3 linked regions of the Tamandua tetradactyla genome follow. The protein of the gene in region 3 purifies or fractionates together with the protein of the main gene of each other region. This does not show direct contact. Links are inferred from orthologs where the notes say so. Each region holds a gene or a part of one and is shown on either strand. Other genes may lie near its edges.

Region 1 (7,494 bases), on a different chromosome or scaffold from region 3:
GCCACTGCTCAGAAAGCAGAGGAAAGCAGAAAGCTGAAGGGAGGGATTAGAGAAGCTGTATGGTCGGTGAGAAGCAGAAGGCCATGGAGGAGGCAGTGGACGCGCCAAAGTATACGGGCAGAGAGCTGAGGCAGGGGCCAGGGCACCCAAGAACCTCAAAGGCGTCACAGTTTTGTCAAAGCCAGCCTTTGGATTCTATGACATCAGCACCTGACCTTGTGACATAAGCACTAGATGCCAGGGAGAACTGTCCCCAGGGAATGGAGCCCCCAGCTCCCAATGGGGGCGGTTCGCCACCACTTGGATAAAGTCTCAGTCTCCCAGAGGCTCTGCATCTGCTGGCCCCACTGCTGCTCCTGCTGCTGCCACTGTTGAGCGTGATAAGCCATCCCAGCCAGGGCCAGGCTGAGCAGGAGGACATCAGCATCGGGGGCAACGAGGAGTCAGGGGAACCGCAGTGGCAGTATGCGTGCAGAATCCCTGATTCAGGTTTAGAAGAAAAGAAATCTGTAACACAGAAGACTTCTGTTTGGCTAAAGGAAGATTGAGGGCAAGTCCCAGACAGAATCTGGATTAGCCTGAGTTTAAGGTGACAGACGCTGGGGGCAGAGAAGGTTAGATCCGGTTTAGTGTCTCTGTTCCTTCTTTCTCAGGTTCCCGCATCACGGGAAGTGCCTTGTGAAACAGTCCAGAGGAACTGTCTCTGGTAAGAGCTCAAAGTACCACAGCATCCTCAATTTCTAGTTCCATCTCAACCCCCAGCCCCAAGCCCACTCCTCCAACTCCACCCTCTCTCACTTCCTGCTCCTCTCCTCCCCACTTCTCACCTTCCCTGAAACATTTTGTCAGTTCTTCCCACCCCAAAGACTAATGTGAATTTAGGGTCTTGGTGAGCTCAGCCTGGAATGGGCACACAACACAGACTAGAGAGGAATTAAAGTCCCCCTTGGGAAGTTCAGGGGCCACTGTAGTCCATCTAACTCCACAAGAGTAGAGAAATGGCTCTGGAGCTGGGGTAAAAAAAATCACAGGTCATAAACCCTTGAAACTAGGACAGCCAGAGACCACCTTGTCCCAAGCCCTCATCTGTGGAAGGAAAAAAACAGGCCCAAGGAGGGAAAGTGGTTTGTCTAAGGACATCCCAAAAGTGAGGAGCAGGATAGAAACAGACCAATTCACCCAACATCTTGGCGCTCTCCATTTCTCCACAGGTTCTATGGGCTGTGTCCTCCTCCCTGCCCCACCCTGAAAATCTCCATTGTCCCACAGCTCCCAAGAGGCTGCTCTGATTCTCCATCATCATACACCCTGCATCAATGGCTTACTGCCAAGAAGAGAGAGGTCAAGCTTAGACCCACATTCCTGCCTGAGCACTCCAGGGAGCCTGGTCCTACAGGGGTAGGAGTCTCCTTGGCCTGTCACCTGCCCCAGGCTGGAGCCACACTTTGTGCGGAGAAGGCGGCCTTGATTTCTCGGCCACATCTAGCTTCAGAGATATCAGTCCTGCCTCTGCCAGGTTTCTAATCCCTGGTGTCATCACTCCAGTTCCTTCTGGATTCAAGGCAATGTTTCCTCAAAACAAGGACCAGGTGCAGCTACAGAACACAGTGTCCTCTGGGCCTTCCCCTGAGGGCCTCTCAAAATTTGTGGACTCTTCTCCCCCCAACCTACAGCCTCCCTGTTCCCCTCAGTCAGTGCCTTCCTCCCGCCCACATTTCTCCTCTTCTCCTCAATCCCATCTCCCCGGCTCTTCTCTCCCTCAGTCCTATTCTCCCCACTCACATTTCTACTTTTCAGACTCAAATTCTGACTCTTTCCTACATCCATACTTTCGTTCTCTCCCAAGTTCCCCCACTTTCTTTCAACAGAATCCCCCCTCGCCCTTCCTTCCACGTTCTTCCTCTCCCCCTCATACTTGTTCCTCTCCCTCTCAGCCACTGAACTCCTCTCTCCCCAACTCACATTGCCACGCTCCTTCACATCTGGAAGACCTACCTAGCTCCACTCTCCCTTCTCCAAGCCCCAGCCTGTCTTCTCCTGGGGTCCACTCCAACAGGCAGACATGGCCCTGGCATCAGCACAGGGACACCGGGGCCCCTGGGGTGGTGGGGGGATGCATACCAAGCGAGAGGGACCCTGCGGAATTCAGGGACCCGGGGGCCCTTGTCCAGGCCCTGGTGGTCCAACTGGGGCACCGCCGCATTGCGCACGACCTGCAGTTACTGCTTTTGCAGCGTCTGTGGCTAGGCAGAACAGGCCGGGCCCCAATAGTGGAGTATCCCATATGCCTGGTGTGTCTCCGGCTGCGCAGCCCCTCCTGCCCCATCCCCAGGTACAGGACCGGGCCCAAGCTGCTCGCTTTTCCCCAACTATTGCCCTGTGCACAGGGCCAGGACTCTGGGCCGCTCCACATAGGCATCGGCTTCGGCCTCCGGCTGCCTCGGGGCCAAGCCAGGGCATTAAATCTGTTGCCAGAAAGAAAATCGGAGCTGGCGGGGCATCAGGGCGAGGCCACTCAGGCTCCTGGCTATCAAGCCCAGGCACCTCAGGCCCCAGCAGTGCAGTCCCCAACATCTCAAGCCCCAGAGGCTCAGGCCCAGGCAGATCCATCCCCAGGCACACCCTCCCAGACCGGGAGCCCCAGGTCTCCAGGCCCTCACTCACCAAACACCATCCTCTGCTCAGGGCTTCCACCCCAGGCACCAAAACAGGTCTCTGCCTCCCCGAAGCCCAGGCATTCCCCTGTCCCAAAGAGGCCTGCCTCTCTAGAGCACATACCCCAAAAGTTATCATTCTAGTTTCAGAGCCACGGAGGCTCACTGGAACGCCCCCTCCAAACCCAACCCTTCCTGCCAGGTCCCAAATCTGTAGGACTTCCGGAGACACTTTGAAGGGCTGGTTGGCTGGGGGCCAGGTGTGTTCTCCAGCCTTGAACCCTGGAAGCCCCTTATGGAGTCTGCTCTCTCCTGGCTGAAGAGGACCAAGGGCACCAGAGCCCCTATTCAGCCTTCAGTATACCCAATAAAGCCTGACCCCGCAAAACTCCTGTTTGTGTCCTGTTGAGTAGATAGATTGGGTGGCTGTATCTACAGGAGCACCAGTCACCACAGGGGCCTCTGAGGGGTACACTTCCTTTCAAAGGAAGGTGTGGCAAGAAAGCCAGAACCATGTACTTGAGGAGGGCAAAGGACTCGCAAGGCCTGACCACCTGGAATGTAAGGACAGCTCTGCCAGACCCTTCACATTGGATTCAAGACCATGAGGCAGATTCTGGCATCCCCAAGATGAACCTACTGGACTTATTCCTCTGGATGTGCGTTGGGTTAACACAAATGCCTGTTGAGGTAAGCAGTTCCACAAGCCGGAAAGGGCATTCCTAGCATCCATTCACGGGGGAACACGCAGGTCCTCAGGAGACCAGAAACCCTCAGGACCCCTCACGCCACTGGTGCAGGAGTGGGAGGGTGAAGCCACAAGAAAGGTAACAGGAGACGCCCACTGATGCTAACCGTGAAGGACAAGCGTTTGGCTAAGGTAGATAGTGGTTTTCTCTTATTATGAAGTAGCAGGTTCCCATTTGAAGTCAGGATTGTGAAAAGGTTAAATTACAGCTTAGGGCAACCACCACCCATCCCCTTTAAATTAGGTAAGACTCAGAGATGCCTCCTTGTTTACTTGTAACAAGGCTGCACACAGACTCTCCACATTCCCATTCTTTGTTTCATAAATGCCCAGCTGAACAGCTCGTGCCCGCTGACCAATCACAACCAAATGCTTGTTGACCAATCTTTGGTTAAGCTTCTCATCTCTCAGACCCCTGAACTTTAAGGGCACCTCCCAGAAAGCAGGCTGCTTCGGCATTAGTATTCTCTGACCTACCGTCTGATCAGTCAACAGTTCATCCCACTTCCCTACGCCCGGTTCTTTCAGTTCTTTAAAAAGAAAACCTTTTCTGCCTAACTCATATTGCAAAACAGTCCCCTCCTCCTATTGCAATAGTCCCTTTCCGCCTTACAGCAATCCTTTTGAATAAAAGCTTTCCTTATCAAGTCCGGATTTGTTTTTTAATCGACTTCTGTCGGATTTTAAAGTCCGTGCTGCCTCTTTCATGAGGTAAGAGAGGTGGACAGGGTTCTAGTGTGTGATCTTGGACAAATCACTTCCTCTCTGGGGTAAAATGGAAAGGCTGCGTTTGTACGAGTCAGTGTATCACCCCCGAAACGCGAACAGCCCTACCAAAGATGTCTTTATTAAAGGTTTATTAACTTTGACTAGACTCACCGCCTCAGATTCCTAGCCCCCACGGAGATTCCCTCGAAGAGGCGCGCCCCGCCGCCCCGCACAAAGATGGCGGAATCTGTCTTCACAAGGGGGCGGCGAACCACAATTCCGGCGCCAGCGTTGCGTCGCCCCGCCGCCGGCTAGTGCTGACGCGTATTGGCGATTCTGCGCTTGCGCAGAGAGCCCTGGGGTAGGTGCGCGTGCGCACTGCGTGTGTGGGAAAACCGGGGTAGGCGGATCCGCGGTAGAGACGCGAGTTGTCAAGAGTTTTGATAACCTCGCGGTGTTAGAGGAGCCGGGGTTCTTCCCCGGGGCGACGCGACAGAGTTTACCAGCGACCCGGGCGGGAGTCGAAGCCTGGGCGAGGCATGTCCGGAGGGCCACGTAGCGGGCTGTGAAGCGCGCAGTAGGCGGGATGGGCCGGCGCCGGGCGCTGGAGCTCTACCGGGCCCCGTTCCCGTTGTACGCGCTTCAGGTCGACCCCAGCGCGGGGCTGCTCATCGCTGCGGGTGGAGGAGGCGCCGCCAAGACAGGCATAAAGAATGGCGTGGTGAGTGCACCGTTGCAGGGCCAAGCCGTGGGCCAAGGGTGATTCTGAGGTAGGCCAGGGGTTGTCGGGGCGGGCCGTAGTACATGCTCGAACTCTGCCTATCCTCCGTGGGGATTCCCGGCCAGCCAGGTGCCTAGGCCCGAGTATCACCGGAGAACTAACTCACCAGGCAGTCGAGAGGGGTAGTGGAAATCGCGCACGGCGCTGCGTAAGGCAGGGGCACTTCAGCTCGACCTCAGGAGCAACTCCCAGGGTCTTATCCTGTCCTTTTCCGGGTAAGGCACAGGGACGTTTGTGCCCTCTAGCAGCTACCGGAGTTGCGCCTTTGACTTTTAGACCAGGTTCCTTCACTTTTCTGAGCATCATCCTGTCCTGGAAACTGGAGATAAACCCAGCCCTGCTTGTTGTCCAGATAGATATAAGGCCCAAATAAGATAAGAACTAGAGAAAGCCTCCTGAACTAATAAGTGCAGTAAGCAAAGGGGTCAGACCTTTGCCCTTGAGGTGCTCTCTGGTCACCCCGAACCTTGCTCATCCTGGTTCCCTCTCCTGCAGCACTTTCTGCAACTTGAGCAGATTGATGGGCACCTGAGCGCCTCCTTGTTACACTCCCATGACACAGAGACACGGGCCACTATGAACTTGGCACTGGCAGGTGACATCCTTGCTGCAGGGCAGGATGCCCACTGTCAGCTCCTGCGCTTCCAGACTCATCAGCAGAAAAGCAACAATAAGGCAGAGAAGGCAGGTGAGGACTCTCTTTTCTAGCCCTTTGGGAAATTAAATGAGTCAAATCCTTTCCAACGTGGTCTCAAAAGAACTGTGGCTGGAAGTGGGGTTATGGTTGTGGGCTGGAAACTGGGTGGTCACCTGACATGCAGAGATATCTAGGACCCAGAAGGCTGTTTGTATTGCAGGTTCCAAGGAGCAGGGGCCTCGACAGAGGAAGAGGACTGCCTCGGCACAGCAGAAATCTGGAGCAGAAACCCACCATGAGGGGGTAGAACTCAGTGTAGAAAATTTGCAGGCTGTGCAGACAGATTTCAGCACGGATCCGCTACAGAAAGTTGTTTGCTTCAACAACAATAATACCCTGCTTGCCACTGGAGGGACAGATGGCTACGTTCGTGTCTGGCAGGTGGGGTTTTGGGGGTTAAGGAGGATGAGTATCAGGAGCAGCAAGGCCAAAATTGTTGGAAATTAAGTGGAGGTTTTAAGAAACTTGTGAGTAGGCCTGCACTGAGTGACCATTAAAGGAGGAAAGGGCTGGGGGTCATTGTGCCCTTTTTGAGTACCTGGGCTGACTGTGGTGGTGGTTTGGCTGCAGGTACCTAATCTGGAGAAAGTTCTGGAGTTCAAAGCCCATGAAGGGGAGATTGAAGACCTGGCTTTGGGGCCTGATGGCAAGGTGAGGAGGTGGGGGATAGAGGGGTGGACAAAGTAGGTGTTTAATGCTGCTTGCCCAGTGAGTGGATCCCCTAACTGCCTGTCCTTGGAATCTTTATTCCTAACTAGTTGGTCACTGCGGGCTGGGACTTTAAGGCCTCCGTGTGGCAGAAAGATCAGCTGGTGACACAGCTGCACTGGCAAGAGAATGGACCCACCTTTTCTAACACACCATACCGCTATCAGGCCTGCAGGTGCAAAGACCTTGGAGGGTGGCTAAAAGAGGCACAGACCAGATGTAGTAGGGGAGTGGGTAAAGATGCAGGGGAAACTGGGAAGGACTATGGTCTTGGGGGTGTTAGCTGAAGCCTGACCAGTTTGGCCCCAGGGAGCTGAACAGTTTCTCTTCCGGCCCCCAGGTTTGGGCCAGTTCCAGACCAACCTGATGGGCTACGACTCTTCACAGTGCAGATTCCCCACAAGCGCCTGCGCCAGCCTCCACCCTGCTACCTCACAGCCTGGGATGGCTCCACCTTCTTGCCCCTTCGGACCAAGTCCTGTGGCCAGGAAGTTGTCTCCTGCCTCAGCATCAGGTGTGAGGCAGTGGTGGCTTGGCCGGGTGCTGGGGAAGGCGCTGGTGGCGATTGAGGGTGTCTCACAGGCCTCCAGGACAGTGAGCACTTTATTTTTTGTTGCAGTGAATCGGGCACCTTCCTAGGCCTGGGCACAGTCACTGGCTCTGTTGCCATCTACATAGCATTCTCTCTCCAGGTAATGGGTGAAGGTGGGCACAGCCTGAGGACTCTTTGGAGTGGGGACTTCAGAACTGCCGCTAACCTGAGTATACAGGAAGGAATCTGGCACAGTCTAGAGGGAAAGCCTATTGAGGGCAGGGGACTTGTTTCTGAGAGAATTCCTACCTGGGCTTCCCCTCACTAGTTCTCCTCCCACCCCCAGCGCCTCTACTATATAAAGGAGGCCCATGGAATTGTGGTGACAGACTTGGCCTTTCTGCCTGAGAAGGGTCGTGGTCCAGAGCTCCTTGGGCCCAATGAAACTGCCCTGTTCTCTGTGGCTGTGGACAGTCGTTGCCAGCTGCACCTGCTGCCCTCACGGAGTGAGTCACTGGGGAGTTTGGGGTGTGAGGGTGTGGAGGGGAGGATACCACTGCACCTTCAGGTATAGCAAAAACTTGCCCCGTGGAGAATGCGCTGCTTGACTGTAGCCATCTAGCCCCCTCCTTGAATGGACTGAGTTGAGGGGTCTCTTCTTCAGGC
Region 2 (7,337 bases), on a different chromosome or scaffold from region 3:
ATAATAAAGAGAGATAAAGAATAAAAATTGGGCAGACTGAAATACTAGTGGTCAATGAGAGGGAGGGGTAAGGGGTATGGGATGTATGAGTTCTTTATTTTTCTTTTTTTTATTTCTTTTTCTGGAGTCATGTGAATATTCTAAAAATGATCATGGTGAGGCATACACAACTAGGTGATGATATTGTAAGCCACTGATTGTATGATATGGCTGGAGTGCCCGTGTGTTGATGTTTGCCAATAGAAATATTAAAAATTTTTTAAAAAATGAAAGGCATCTGCCCATTACCACAACTGGCTGGTGAAGTTCTTGGTTCCCTATTCAACCCTCTAATTCTCAATCTTTGCTGTTTCAAACATAAAAAGCAAAAATTTTTCAAATGAATATAATCAAGTGCTGATGCTGAGTAGTTTTAGTACGGCCATCACAGGGCTAATAGAGAACTGGGAAGGGCAACCAGGAAGCCCCAAGAGATCAATTAAACGTGAACTAACCACTAAAAGGCACTACCTTTAAGTGGCTGTAGCTGCTATCATGCAGCAGTAAACACTATTAGTTTCATTTGCAATTAAGCTATTCTTTCTGCACATTATCTGAATAAATTAACAGGAGACGATGTCACACTATATTGGAGATCCAATCACATCACAAAGCGATATTTTCTCAAAGTAAATAACGTTGACTATATTTGACATTAAGAAGATTTCAAAACAAAGGAAGAAACGCCTTTTTAATTTTTCTATAAACAAATTCAAAAGCTGACATCACATGTGGCAGGGACCAAGTAAAAGCTCTAAGGATGTTTGCTGCCTTCAGTCTTAAAAATGCAGGATTTAAATCACATTCAATCTAGAAACTGGCAGTATTTTTTTCTTTTTGTTGGCCAAATACAGTTTCTGATGTAATGGCCAATAAACGTATTTAAATAGCAGAGGGGAGAAAAGGATGAAATGGAAATAACACTTTTTTAAAAAGCCAATTAGGAAAACAAAAGACAATTAGCAATAAAATACTTAAGTATCTACATATTTGCGGGACAAACATATCGATTTGGAAAGGATAATTCATTTTTTGAAGCTAAACTCCGATTTTAGTAAGTCAGCATCTTTACTCAGATATGAGTGGGCGAGAGGCAAGGTTAAAAGTGATGAACAACGGTGGCGCAGTGGCAGAGTTCTCACCTGCCACATGGGAGACCCGGGTTCAATTCCCGGTGCCAGCTCAGGCAAAAACCAAAAAAGGGATGAACATTTAGGCTAGGGATCCTTCCGGAACTGGAAATGGCAGTGTTCCTCTTGTCCCCTTAGAACAGACAGTGAGGATTTACACCACATATCACGTGCCCGCTCAGTGTACACTATGGAACAGGTGCCGGACAAGCACACAAGGACACCTTACACACAACACACACCACCCTATCAAACTCTTATTTCACACAACCCAGGCCCTGCTCATGCTGTCGCCTGTTGTGTCTGGTCATATCTGTGTGGACACACACCATTTCTCAAGTTATGTTACACAACTGTCGGCCCTTCCAACCCCACAGGTCATTTCTCAGTACTGAGGCAGTGATGTGATTCTCCAGGTCACTTATGTTCAGGAGGTCAGGTGGGGCAGGGCTTGGACGCGAAAAACAGCAAACATTTTGGCATATTCAACTTAGCTTGCTAATAGCCCAGTTTCGCTTTGAGGAAAGTGAAGGAAAAAGAAGTCGTGGAAGTTGTTTTTGCTGTTACAATGTTTACTTACATTCGCCCTATAGAAACCTCTAGGAATGGCTTAATGCAAATTAACTCTTCAACTTCAGAAATCTGTTTTTGCATAACACCAATTTGAATATAAACAGTAAACTTGAGGCTACCTAGTCTGCTCATTATAAATTTCTTCTATATGTATTGCTTGCAACGTATGCACAAGCTTTTTAATAGCGGTGGTGAAGAAGTCATAAGGTTATTTGAGAACGGACGGGAGACCCTGAGAATGATCCTGGTTCGGCAAACGTAGGAAGGGATTCCAACAGCACAAGGAGCTGAGGCTAATGCCAGCTGGCTTCTAAGACGGCTAAGTCTTCATTATTACTTAAAAAACCCTCTTCATCTAGGGGTCTCTGCCCTCCCCGCAGCCCATCCCCCCTCCTCCCCCCACCCCCATCCGGGAGAGGGAACAATTCCGCTTCCTGCGCAAAGAAAAGAGACTGCCAGGTGGCCGCTTTCAAAAGCCAAAGACGCCGGCGCTCCTGCGCCCTGACTGGCAGTGTGCAAGGAGACCTGCATGCACAGAAATGGCATGGGACAGCAAGAGTCTGGGCGCAGATCTCGGAAGACTCCGCGCCCGGATCAAACCTGAACTCTACCCGCTGCTCAAAAGGCAAACGAGCCCCAAACCCCAGGCGAGCAGCAAGGCGGAGGATGAAGGGTCAGCGTGCCTTTCCCAAGCCCACCGCAACCTGCGACCAGGCGGCCGAGCTCTAAGCGCATCCACCCCTGGCGACTGCACCCACCGGGTCCCGGAGGCGCAGGCAAGCGCTCGGATGCGGTGCAGACCCATCTCCCCTCGGATTACTGGGACGCGGCGGGTGGCCCTGGGGAGCTGGGGTGGGGGAGCTGGGGGCCACCCCCGCCCGAGTCAGCAAAGGACAAATAAAACGCCGGCAACAAGTGGGAGGCACAGCCCCACCGTCAAGGCCGAGAGGCCCTGGCGCCGGCACGGCGAGGCAGAGACGCAGGAACAGGGGCGCACCCCCCTTCCGCACGCCACACACCGGGCTGGCGACCCCCCCCAAACCCCACCCCACCCCAGCCAGGCCCGCAAGGGTGGCCGGATTCGGGTCCCCACGCCAGCCCCCCGCCCCCGCGCCAGCCCCCGGGGCGCCGCAGCAGAGACCCCGGGGCACCGCACACGGCGCACTCACTGCTGCACTCGTCGTCCGCGCACAGCTTGTGCCGCGAGAAGCGCCGGCCGGGGCTGCTGTCCGGCTGGCCCCACACCCTCCATAGCCGCCCGAGCACGAGCAGCCAGAGCAACAGCCGCGGCGCCGCAGCCATGTTGGGGCCAACTCCGCGGAGGCGGGGCGCGGGACGAGGCCGGGCGGGCGGGGTGCGGGGGCGGCGGGTCGGAGGCGGGGCGCGGGGTAGGCCGGCCGGGCGGTAGGCGGGGCGCGGGCGAGGACGGCGGGAGGAGGCCGGGTGGGCGCGGAGGCGGGGCGGGGACGCCGGGAGGAGGACGGGTGGGCGCCGGGAGGAGGACGGGTGGGCGCCGGGGCGCCGGGGCGGGGGCGCCGGGAGGAGGCCGCGGGGGGGCGCCGGGAGGAGGCCGCGGGGGCGCCGGGGCGGGCGGCGGCACGAGCCACGCGGCGCCCTGGAGGGGTGCACGCCGCTTGCTGACACGTCAGCGGGGGCTGAAGGAGAGGGGCGAGCGGGGCGCCGAGACGGAAGCCCGAAGCCGTGGGCCGCGGCCGCCCGGACCGCCGCCCTCCGCCCTCTCCGCCCGCCCCGCCCGGCTCCCTTGGTCGCACTCCCCGCTCCGCACGTCGGGATCCCCTGATCCCGCAGCGTCCCAGCGGAGGTCTTTTCTGGAGTGTTCTTACAGCTTCTGCTTTCTGGTCTGACCCCAAACTAGCTCAGGCCCGCCCACCATCCTCTCGAGGTTTGGGGCCTCCTTTGCTGAGCCCCAGGCTGCGTCCGCGGTCTGCCCCGGCTTCGGGCGCCCACCCTTCGGACTCCAGCGCTTCCTTAGCGGCCGTCCCCTAAGGAGAGGGGTGTGTGCGTGAAGTTAATGGGTCACGGGAGTGATCTAGAGCCAGGTTCCTATTTGGCCTGTATTTGAGCCTCGGGGCGGGGGAGGGGATGGGGATGTGGGGTGGGCAGTGGGTCGCTAGCTGAGATCTTGACATTCTTGCTAAGTGCAAAAGTAGTTTAATTCAACACAAATGGTTTGGGTTCTGTTTCATGGCATGGGGATGTGGGGAGAGGATGGCAGTCAAAGATGAATAAGATATCCTGGCCCTTATCTAAAGAAGCCCACAATTTAGTGGAAATAACTAACATATAAAACAATTAAATTATGAATATAAAAGCGAATGTTATAAATATCAGAGTAGAGGAAAACGAAATAATAGGAGCTAATATTTATTGAGTGCTCTCTTTATGCCCAGGTGCTATTTCAAAGTCTTTATGTGTATTAATTCAGGTAATCCTCACAACTGTAGTACCTTACCAAAGTAGATCCTATCACTTTTCATTTTAGTGACAGTAAGTCAACGCAGTCACACCTCTGCTGAGTGAAGCTAAGATTTCAACCTTAAAAGCTGCCTTTTTAAACACTTCTGTAAGTTCTTCATGATGCAACAAGTAGTTTTTGGATTTTCTTTCCGAGTAAAGGAGGAAAAGCTTGTCAAAATCGTAATATAACTAAATTATCTACATGTGCTGTATATATAAAAGCGCACAGACCTGCAGGTTAGCCCAGGGCCGAGTGGCTACAATGCTCCCATCTTGGTTGGAGCATTTTTCATTTGTCATTGGCCAGGGGCTTTTCAGCTGCAGACTCAGTTCAGTGTGTTTATCACCCTCCAACCCGATCAAACCCAAGCTAACTGGATTCCTTTACAGCCAAAGGAAAATGTGGTCCCATGTGTGAAATCCACATGAAAAGGTGGGAAAGAGAAGATCACGGGTGTTTGTCTGCCATGCCATTAGAAATCCCTTTGGTCTAGTGTGGTTCAGAAGCTTCTAGGAGAATGTATGTAAAGGCAAGGGGAGGTGCTCTTTGTCCAAGAGGTGGTACTGTTAGGAGTTCTTCATTTCAACTATTTTTAAGTGGTTTTTTTAGAATCTTAGGGATGTCTTATAGGCATCTCTGACTCAATGTATTGAAAACCAAACTTATTTTCCTTCTCAAACCTTCTGTTTTCAGTCTTCTTTATCTTGGCAGCTCCTATCTTGCAGGTGCTCAAGCCAAAAGTTTACAAACCATTCTAATACCTCTCTTTCTCAAACACTCCAAATCCCATCCATCAGACGATCCTGTGCCCTCTTTATTTTAATAGCTCTGTTGACGTATGGTTGACATACAGTTAACTGTGCGCATTTGAAGTGTATGATTTGATAAGGTTTGGTTGACATATGTACACACCTATGTGGTAAGACAATCACCACACTCAGTATAGTGAACATACCCATCACCCTCAAAAGAGTCTTTGTGCCCCTTTGTAATCCTTGTTTCCCTCTCCTGCTTTCCTCCACACAACCTTCTATAGCTATAGATGAGTCAGCATATTCTAGAGTTTGATATAAATGGAGTCATACAGTATGTATTCTTTTTTGGCTGGTTTCTTTCACTCAGTATAATCATTTTAACTATATCCAGAATTTGGCCACTTCTCACGGTCTGCTAGGCTAACACTGTTAGCAAGACCCTGTCTCTCAGCTGATGTTGTAACAGCCTTCTCACTGCTCTCCCTCACCCTGCGCTTGTCTGCCCAGAGTCTTAGTCCTCATAGCCACCGGAGTGATACATCTGTGACATAAATCTGGCCATCCCCCCTCCCTCCGCAGTTCCTTCCTATGGCAAATCCAATGTCTTTACTGCGGCCTGCACTTCCTTAGTGGATCTGACTTCCTTTGCTCGACTCCCATTTCCTCTCCACGTACTCTGTTCCACCCAAACAGATAAGACCAGCCCTGCTTCAGAGCGTTTGCACTTGCTGTCCTCCCTCAACCTGTAACACTTCTCCCGGTGGTCTCCCCAGCTAACTAGTTCCCTCCCTTCATCGAGGCTGGGTAACAGTGCCAAGGCTCAGTAACAGTGCCATATCTACCTTAATAGAGAGGCCATCTGTGACCACCCTGCTTAAAACAGAGCTGCCCTTCATGATTATCTAGCCTGTCGCCCTGCTTTTTTTTTTCTTAGAGCATAATTTAACATTTAACTACTTGAGTGCCTCCTTAGCCCAAATATAAGCTCTGCAGAAGCAGAGAATTTGTTTGTTCAGTGCTATTACCTCAGTGCCCAGGAAAATGCCTGATGTGCATGAAGTTCTCAACAAATAATGTGTCGGATGAACACATGATCCTCACACAGTATCAGTAGATACTCCTCTTAACCTAAGCAAAGCTTTGATATGGAAAGAGTACTAAGGGGGAGCGTGACAGGAGAATAAGTCATTTTGTGTCCTGTCCTCCCTCCCCCAGGAGAAACCTCAGCACCGGGAACAGAATCTGGAATATATTTATTGTTAAATAAGGGCATATAAGTTGTGGAGGAAGCAAATGAAATCATACTGTACTTTTTTCCCCATTATACCACAAGAATATTAAAGAAAGTGAAGTTGTTTTAGTCTTTCTTTTTTCTTTTTAGAGTAGAATTACATGACAGTTCATTAGTTGAAGCAAAGTTTCAAAATGAGGTAACTTAGTCTTATTTTACCTCACATGTACTTTGGCTAGTATTCAGATACACCTGTATATGAGGGTCACGGCTCCCAGTTGCTGGAGAACTGACTCCCCAGCTTATAGATTTTCCAGGGTTTATTACCTTCAAGCTATATTAATATGCTGACAAGCTTGTTGGATAATCAGAAAAGAAATTCCAGCTGACCACGCCAGAGGCAAGGGAGTAGCAGTGCTTCTTACCAGCATGTATAATTAGTGAATGAATCAGCAATCATTTCTACTCTTAGCATTTGAGTAGGTAGTATTGATGTTTAATCAACATAAATTCAAATCCCAAGTATTTATTAATATGTCAGGTAGGGTTTAGGTTGAGTTCTGGTTAAAAATAAATGTATCTGGAGGAGCAAGGGGAGTTCAGTGGTAGAATTCTCACCTGCCATCCAAGAGACCCGGGTTCGATTCCTGGCCGGTGCACTTCCCCAAAAACAATCAAATAAGCAAAACAAACAAACAAAATTCAGCAAATGGTGATGCAATAACGGGATACTCACATGGGAAAACAATGAAATGTGACCCCGCCAAACAGCATACCAAAAAAAGTATCTAATTCTGGGTTTATAATAGCTAATTAGAAATAACTGGCTACAATCAGTTTCATTTTGAGTACCTACAGTGAGATTCAGACTCTACTGGGTTCTTGAGCAGGGGGAGGGAGATTGGAAATAGAAGAAATGGAGAGCCGTTGACCTCAGAGAATTTGCAGTTGTAGTCTGATTGAAAAGACAAGGATGCTACATCTGAAACCAGTCAGAGCATAATAACGTGTGTCACTGTACACCTGCCATAGTGTTTCCGAGGAATGTTTAGATGATCTCACAGTTAAGTCATCAGAAAGAACTTAGTCCGTTGCCAATGATAAAACAATCATCATTCAGAGAATGGTAT
Region 3 (7,107 bases):
GGTGTTTATTGGCGATCAACAACTATGAAATGAAGGGAGAGGATGCTGGTTTGAAAGGATGTATGTCCCCTAGAAAAGCCATGTTTTAATCTAAATCCCATTTCATAAAGGCAGAATAATCCCTATTTAATACTGCATGTTTGAAACTGTAATTAGATCATCTCCCTGGATGATATGATTTAATCAAGAGTGGTTGTCAAGCTGGATTAGATGACGACATGTTTCCACCATTTGGGTGGGTCTTGAGAAGTTTCTGGAGTCCGATGAAAGAGGAAACATTTTGGGGAATGAAGGAGATTCAGAGAGAGCAGAGAAGAACAACATAGCCAAGACAGCAGAGAGTCCACAAGACAGTGACCTTTAGAGATAAAGAAGGAAAATGCCTCCCGTGGAGCTTCATGAAACAGGAAGCCAGGAGAGAAAGTAACAGATGATGCCTTGCTCACCATGTGCCCTTTCAGCCGAGAGAGAAACTGTGACTGTGTTTGCCATGTGCCTTTCCAGATGAGAGAGAAACCCTGAATATCATAGGCCTTCTTGAACCAAGGTATCTTTCCCTGGATGGATGCCTTAGATTGGACATTTCTACAGACTTGTTTTAATTGGACATTTTCTCAGCCTTAGAACTGTAAACTAGCAACTTATTAAATTCCCCTTTTTAAAACACCTTCTGATTCCGGTACATTGTGTTCCAGCAGCTAGCAAACTAGAACAGAGAGACAGCAGGATCGGACAGAAGTTGAACTGCAGTGCAGGTCTAATAAAGTCCAGGTCAACGCAGCAGGCAATTTTGGGGGAGAAATGCCATCAGGGTATTTCACATCAGGCTGAAATGGCCCTATCTTTGTACTCCCTCCTTACTTAGCCATTGGATGTGGGCTGCCCCAGGAAGAGGTTTTCTCGCATTAAGCAACAATAAAGTGGGAGCAGATGTCTTCTGGCAAGTACCTTGGCAAGAACTTTCCTCATTTTTTCTTATTTCAAATCTCCTTCAGGCCAATTACTAAGCAGACTTAAATTTAGATGGACTCTCGTCTCTTTTAACTTAGAACATGACTACACTGATTAGTTCAGGATTTAGCAGTAATATCTTAATGCTGAGTACAAAATAAGGATAGTTAGATTGCACTGATTACTAAATATTCTTGATTTGATAGTAGATTCGATCATGTAAATTGTGCAAATAATCCTGTGCCACATTTTGGAGTTGAAGAGCTGATCCTTCTTTAAATGTCTTTGACAACATAGCTTACAGATTTGCAAAGGTATCCAAGAAACTAACCCACACTTTTTGTGTGTGGTGTACATGCAACTATGCAGTGCTCTGATGACCAGCCCAGTGACCCAGATTCAGAGCCATCTCCCTCCGCGTGCTCTAGCAGATTTTTTCTAAGGATGCAAAAACCTTAGAACTGAAAGATCAGTCTTTCTACTGATGATTGTGTTCTTTTCTTTTTAGTGACTTGAAACAAAAGTCCTTCACGTTAGCTTGCTCACTCCCAGGTATCTGTCTTGTTTGTGTCAGTCACTAGATGGAGTGTGGTGTCACACAAGTGCAAGGTTCTAACTTGAGGCTGAGCTCCTGCAAACACGTTTTGCACATATTGGCGTGCCCAATACAGTGTAAATGTCCAGCAAAGGAGAGTTTGGAAAAAATATTTTCTCAAGACTGAAATGGGGCAACCATGACTTCAGCTAATCTATTGGAATCTTGAGGGTTTTTTTGGGGGGTGCATGGTCCGGGAATTAAATACAGTCTTCCGCATGGAAAGCGAGCATTCTACCACAGAACCACCCGTGCACCTTGGAATCTTGAGTTTTACACAGAAATTTCTCAAATAGGTCTTCGATTCTCATTAAGTGACAGTAACATTCAAATGACTTGATTTTTTAAAATGCAATTTTATTGAGATATATTATATATTCACATACCATATAATCATCCAAATTGTGCAATCAGTGGTTCACAGCATCATCATATAGTTGTGCATTCGTCCTCACATTCAATTTTTGAGCATTTTCATTACTCCAAAACAAATAACAATTTTAATAGCCGTATTGTTATTTTTAAATTTATTTATTTATTAATTTAAAAAATTAAGAACAAACAAAAACATTAACATATTATTTCGTTCTATATATATAATCAGTAATTCTCAATATCATCACATAGTGTATTGTTATTTGAAAATGATATATGCTCACTGATTTTAAAAAAAGGGAGTCAAGCAATATAGAAAAGTACAGAGAATAAAGTGAATATAACCTGAAAGCACACCACACATTCTTATCATATCAGGGAACATTATTTCGGATATGACTTTCGCATTTTCTCTCCACTTACAGAAATATGCATGCTATTTCAAATACATGGAATCATTCCGTACTGCTGCTCTGGAATAGTGTCGCTGCAGACAAAGTAGATTTCTTTCTGAGGCAGATGATTTGATTCTTGATGATAAAGCAGAGTGGTTAAAATTATGGGGAGGCTGTAGGCTGAGCCCTCAGTCTTGGGGTTTGTTCATATGAAACTTAACCCCACAAAGGATAGGTCAAGCCTACTTAAAATTAAGCCTAAGAGTCACCCCCAAGAGAGCCTCTTCTGTTGCTCAGATGTGGCCTCTCTCTCCAGCCAACACAACAAGCAAACTCACCACCCTCCCCCTGTCTACGTGGGACATGACTCCCAGGGGTATAGACCTTTCTGGAAATGTGGGACAGAAATCCTAGAATGAGCTGAGACTCAGCATCAAGGGATTGAGAAAAACCCTAGAATGAGCTGAGAATTAACATCAAGGGATTGAGAGAAACTTCTCCACCAAAAGGGGGAAGAGTGAAATGAGACAAAGTGTCAATGGCTGAGAGATTCCAAACAGAGTGAGAGGTTGTCCTGGAGGTTATTCTTATGCACTAAGTAGATATCACCTTGTTATTCAAGATGTAATGGAGAGACTGGAGGGAACTGCCTGAAAATGTAGAGCTGTGTTCCAGTAGCCATGTTTCTTGATAATGATTGAATAATGATACAGCTTTCACAATGTGACTGTGTGATTGTGAAAACCCTGTGTCTGATGCTCCTTTTAATCTACCATGTCAATAGATGAGTAGAACATATGGAATAAAAATAAATAATAGGGGGAACAAATGTTAAAATAAATATAGTTTGAAATGCTAGTGATCAATGAAATGGAGGGGTGAGGGGTATGGTATGCATAATTTTTTTTCTGTTTTCATCTTATTTCTTTTTCTGTTGTCTTTTTATTTCCTTTTCTGAATTGATGCAAATATTCTAAGAAATGATCATGATGATGAATATGCAACTATGTGATGATATTGTGAATTACTAATTATATACGTAGGACAGAATGATTACATGTTAAGAATGTGTTTCTTTGTCGTATTTTTTTTTAATTAAAAAAAAAAATTATAGAGAGGCACAGTGCCTAGGCTAAAATTCCTTCCCCACTGCTCAGTATGTGACACTGGGCAAGTGATTTACCCTATTTCTATGTGCCTCAGTCTCCACCTATGCAAAAATAGGGACAATAATGTTACTACAAAGAGTTGGTGTTAAGGTTAAATGACCAACTTATAAGTGCTTAAAACAGAACCTGGAATATGGTAAGTACTTAATATATTTTGACTATTATTATTAAGTAAATATGGCAATGTTCAACTCATAGTGACACTGAAGAGTTTTTAATATGAATGAGGGCTATTTTTTTTTCAAATAACTTTTATCATGACATTTCACAACTTATGCTTTTTAACATAAATTATTACTTTTCTACATGTCTCGCGCTGATGGGATGTAGTTGGTGACTGGTCTACCTGAAGACTTTAACAAGACGAGATTGAATTTGCCTTTCTCTGGAGAGAAAGACTTGTCCTGTTTAAGACTTGTCCTGTTGAATGCAAGGTGCCTTTAAATGACACGGCTTTGCACGGGTCAACTTGATGAAGACACTAGTCCAACTAAAAAAAAAAAACTCTGTTAATTATTAATCTCTCATGTATTCTCTGGATAACTGACACTGCAGATTGAGAACAGAGAATGTTTGTCTCTCAAGTGAAGCCTAAAGACTGATAGAAAAATGTAGTTTTCAAGGGATTTTTAAAACCCTACTCTTTTTTCCTTATATTTAGTGAAGAAAACAGGGTACTTCCCATGTTGGCTGGCATAGCTACACCCTTTACAGTAGGTGTCAACCTTGTGTGGGGGTCTTGGATGCTGGTTTCGGCATGGCGGAGCACACAGTTCACAGAATCCTCCTTTGGGTTATTGTTCTGACAAAGAGTCTGGAGAGCGCAAAACTGCTGGCAGGCTTTAAAAAATGTGGTGACTTGGAGTGTGAAAGTAAGTTTGCCTTTTTCTTTCTTTTTCCACTTTAGTTGATTAAGGGGCTGAAATGACAGGATACGTCATTCTGGATGGATGCGTTTGATAAAAATGGGCATTAATATTATTGAGAAATATTTGAAATTGTAAACTATAGCTTGCTATAAAAAAGAAATGCTGGAAACAAGGCATTTTGTGATAGTATTAATGTAAGTATACAAAGCGGCAAAGATCAGCCTGATATATAAATAAATCAGAAATTATTTTAGCTCATACCTCAAAACCAAATTAATCAGCCTTTGTTATTTTGCTTTGTGTAAAAAAATCATTCCATTTGATAGTACTTTATTTATGAAATGCTTGTATTCTTTCTATTTCACAATCAGAATTTTCCTATTCTTATAAGTTTGCTAAAAATGTTTTTATTTCAAACCACCATGATTTATTCCATCTAAACCTTATCAGAATTAATCATTTCTCTATTAATTTATGATACAAAAATTCAACATGAGAGTTAAACATGCCATAATATAAGCATCAATAGTATATAAGCTAAAAATGTGTAAACATTTTCCTTAACATTTTGATATGTAATTTATTATACAGAGAAGGTTTACTAGACAATGTTTTATATTAATAATGTTTGTTTTCTTCTTTATGTTACAACCCATTGTAGTATCCTTAGGGCCAGACACAGAACATGGAAACGTTCATGTTTATAATTAATAATATTATAATATTATTTTGATCAAATTACAATTGCAGTATAATCAAATGTGTTTTACACATAGTAGTAGTATTATCATAGTTAATATGGAATGTACACTATTTCATGCATTGAAGGGACAAATCCAGCATATTTGTTTATGAATAATCCGTAGCCACTTAGGGCCTGCTGTAGGCTGGGGTCTGGGGCAGGAGGAATGCATAGAAGAGGAATCAAAATGAAATGGATGATAAGGTTCAGGTACTCTCATTCTAGTGAATGGTGGCAATACAGGTCAATACAGAAAAAGTAGGATATGAATTGAACAGGGAGAGAGAGGGAGGGGTTTCTATGCTGAGGAAAGAGCAGAAAGAACAGTCCAGGCTAAGAAAGGTGAATGTTGCAGTGGAAAGAACCTCTCTGAGCCTTAGTTAAAGGTTCATTTGTTACACTGAGATGAGATTATTTATCCTACAGATCTGTTTCGAGGATTTAGTAAAATAATAAATATGAAGGTGCTTAGCAGAATGCTCGGAATATAGTAGGTGCCAGGAAGCAAACTGATTATCTTTTCCTTCCCTTTCCTACAGCCTGGAGATTGGTAGTGACATATTCCAGGGACAGTGGATAGAAGAGTTTGTATAAAAGGGTAGAAGGAGGTACTGCCCCTTTAGATAGGGAAGGTGGGACAGGGTGGAAGACAGCCTTGGATATCAAGTCATAGAGCTTAGACTTTATTTTGTGTACAGTCATACAAAGTGGCCATAAGTGATATATAAGGAAATTAGTGTTTGGTAACTTCTATAGCATGGATTGGAGGAGGGAAAGGCTGGTGGGGGAGGAATGACATTTTAATCTAAAATGTGTTTTTCTTTACATGTTTACATAGCTTTAATAAGCAGAGTCTTAGCCGTGAGCGATTACAGAGGATCTGACTGCCGATACCTGAACTTCACCAAGGGAGAAGAGATATCTGTGTATGTTAAACTTGCAGGAGAAAGGGAAGATTTGTGGGCAGGAAGTGTAAGTATCTAGTCTTAAAAAACAATGCAGAGTAAATGACCAGCTTGCACAATTGCTTACTTTATATCTCCAAAGGAACTTTAAGAATTTCAAAGCACTGTATAAATATTTTTGAAAAACCACCTTAACATATTTAAACACACACACAAATGGTCATATTTGGTGGTAGTTTCAGAATTTCTATAAATAAGGCTTTTAGGGAAGCAGTCTGGTTGAGATAGAGGACTAAGAAAATGCCTTGAAATTAATTTTATTTAGCATGCATATTTTTTAAAAACTTAGATTTTATATTTATTTGAAGTGATTTGAGGAATGCTGATGGAGATTATGGGATGGTTAGGCAATCCCAGCCACCCCTTAGTGCTATCAATGATCAAGTATAAGAAAGATTGGGAAATTTTAATCAAATTAAAAGACATGTCTTTCTGAGCAAATAAAGGACTGAGTTAAGATGCTAAGAAAGGCTAGCAGCCTAGAAAAGCTAGGTGTGTGAATTTTTCATTGAAAAAATAACAACTAGGAAAGACTTTCATGTAGCTCAAAGTCCTAGTACGTTGAAATTCCTAGAAACTTGAATCATCTTTCTGATTATATAACATGCGAAAATTAATGATTAATGTTTGCAACTGAAATTAAGTTTGTGTCTTTGTGTCATTATGCTTTATAATAAAAAAGATGCCATGGTAAGTGATTTTACTCTAAAGTTTAACAAGTATGACCAACCTGATACATTTATCATTTCTATGTTGACTATTCATGCAATTTGCTGCTATGGTCACTGTTTGAAGTAGCAGCTTCTATTTGAAACACTGTTTTTTTCCCATCAGGGCCTATATGACAACCTCTGACTACTTCTGGACACAACTATTTGTCTGACTCTGTAGCCCTCAAGATTCCTTACTACCCAGGGCTGCCTTAAATCTGCCATTATCTGTTTTGAATGCCTGGAGCTATCCAATGCAGCTGTGAGAAAAATAACACAGCTGGTGTCATAAGAGGCAAAGGAGGCATTCTTCTTTGCTCACTATGTGTGAATCCA

What was found.
Region 1: the proteins of MIA2 (region 3) and PREB purify together in Homo sapiens (affinity purification with western blotting; 3 studies listed by BioGRID and IntAct, with this or other methods). This does not show direct contact. The link is inferred for Tamandua tetradactyla from reciprocal best matches to the Homo sapiens genes MIA2 and PREB.
Region 2: the proteins of MIA2 (region 3) and MIA3 purify together in Homo sapiens (affinity purification with western blotting; 6 studies listed by BioGRID and IntAct, counting the BioPlex papers as one, with this or other methods). This does not show direct contact. The link is inferred for Tamandua tetradactyla from reciprocal best matches to the Homo sapiens genes MIA2 and MIA3.

The regions. Positions count from the first base shown.
Region 1 is NC_135329.1:10,898,048-10,905,541, reverse strand, and holds the start of PREB (guanine nucleotide-exchange factor SEC12), read left to right. Parts: upstream 1-4,469; 5' UTR 4,470-4,696; coding exon 4,697-4,831; intron 4,832-5,386; coding exon 5,387-5,579; intron 5,580-5,748; coding exon 5,749-5,969; intron 5,970-6,158; coding exon 6,159-6,239; intron 6,240-6,346; coding exon 6,347-6,471; intron 6,472-6,636; coding exon 6,637-6,810; intron 6,811-6,915; coding exon 6,916-6,988; intron 6,989-7,174; coding exon 7,175-7,334; intron 7,335-7,494. Other genes in the region: PRR30 (proline-rich protein 30), read left to right, coding at 1,566-2,798.
Region 2 is NC_135330.1:83,194,048-83,201,384, reverse strand, and holds the start of MIA3 (transport and Golgi organization protein 1 homolog), read right to left. Parts: upstream 3,077-7,337; 5' UTR 3,045-3,076; coding exon 2,912-3,044; intron 1-2,911.
Region 3 is NC_135340.1:14,287,249-14,294,355, reverse strand, and holds the start of MIA2 (melanoma inhibitory activity protein 2), read left to right. Parts: upstream 1-4,044; 5' UTR 4,045-4,242; coding exon 4,243-4,357; intron 4,358-5,934; coding exon 5,935-6,068; intron 6,069-7,107. UniProt on the Homo sapiens protein: Plays a role in the transport of cargos that are too large to fit into COPII-coated vesicles and require specific mechanisms to be incorporated into membrane-bound carriers and exported from the endoplasmic reticulum.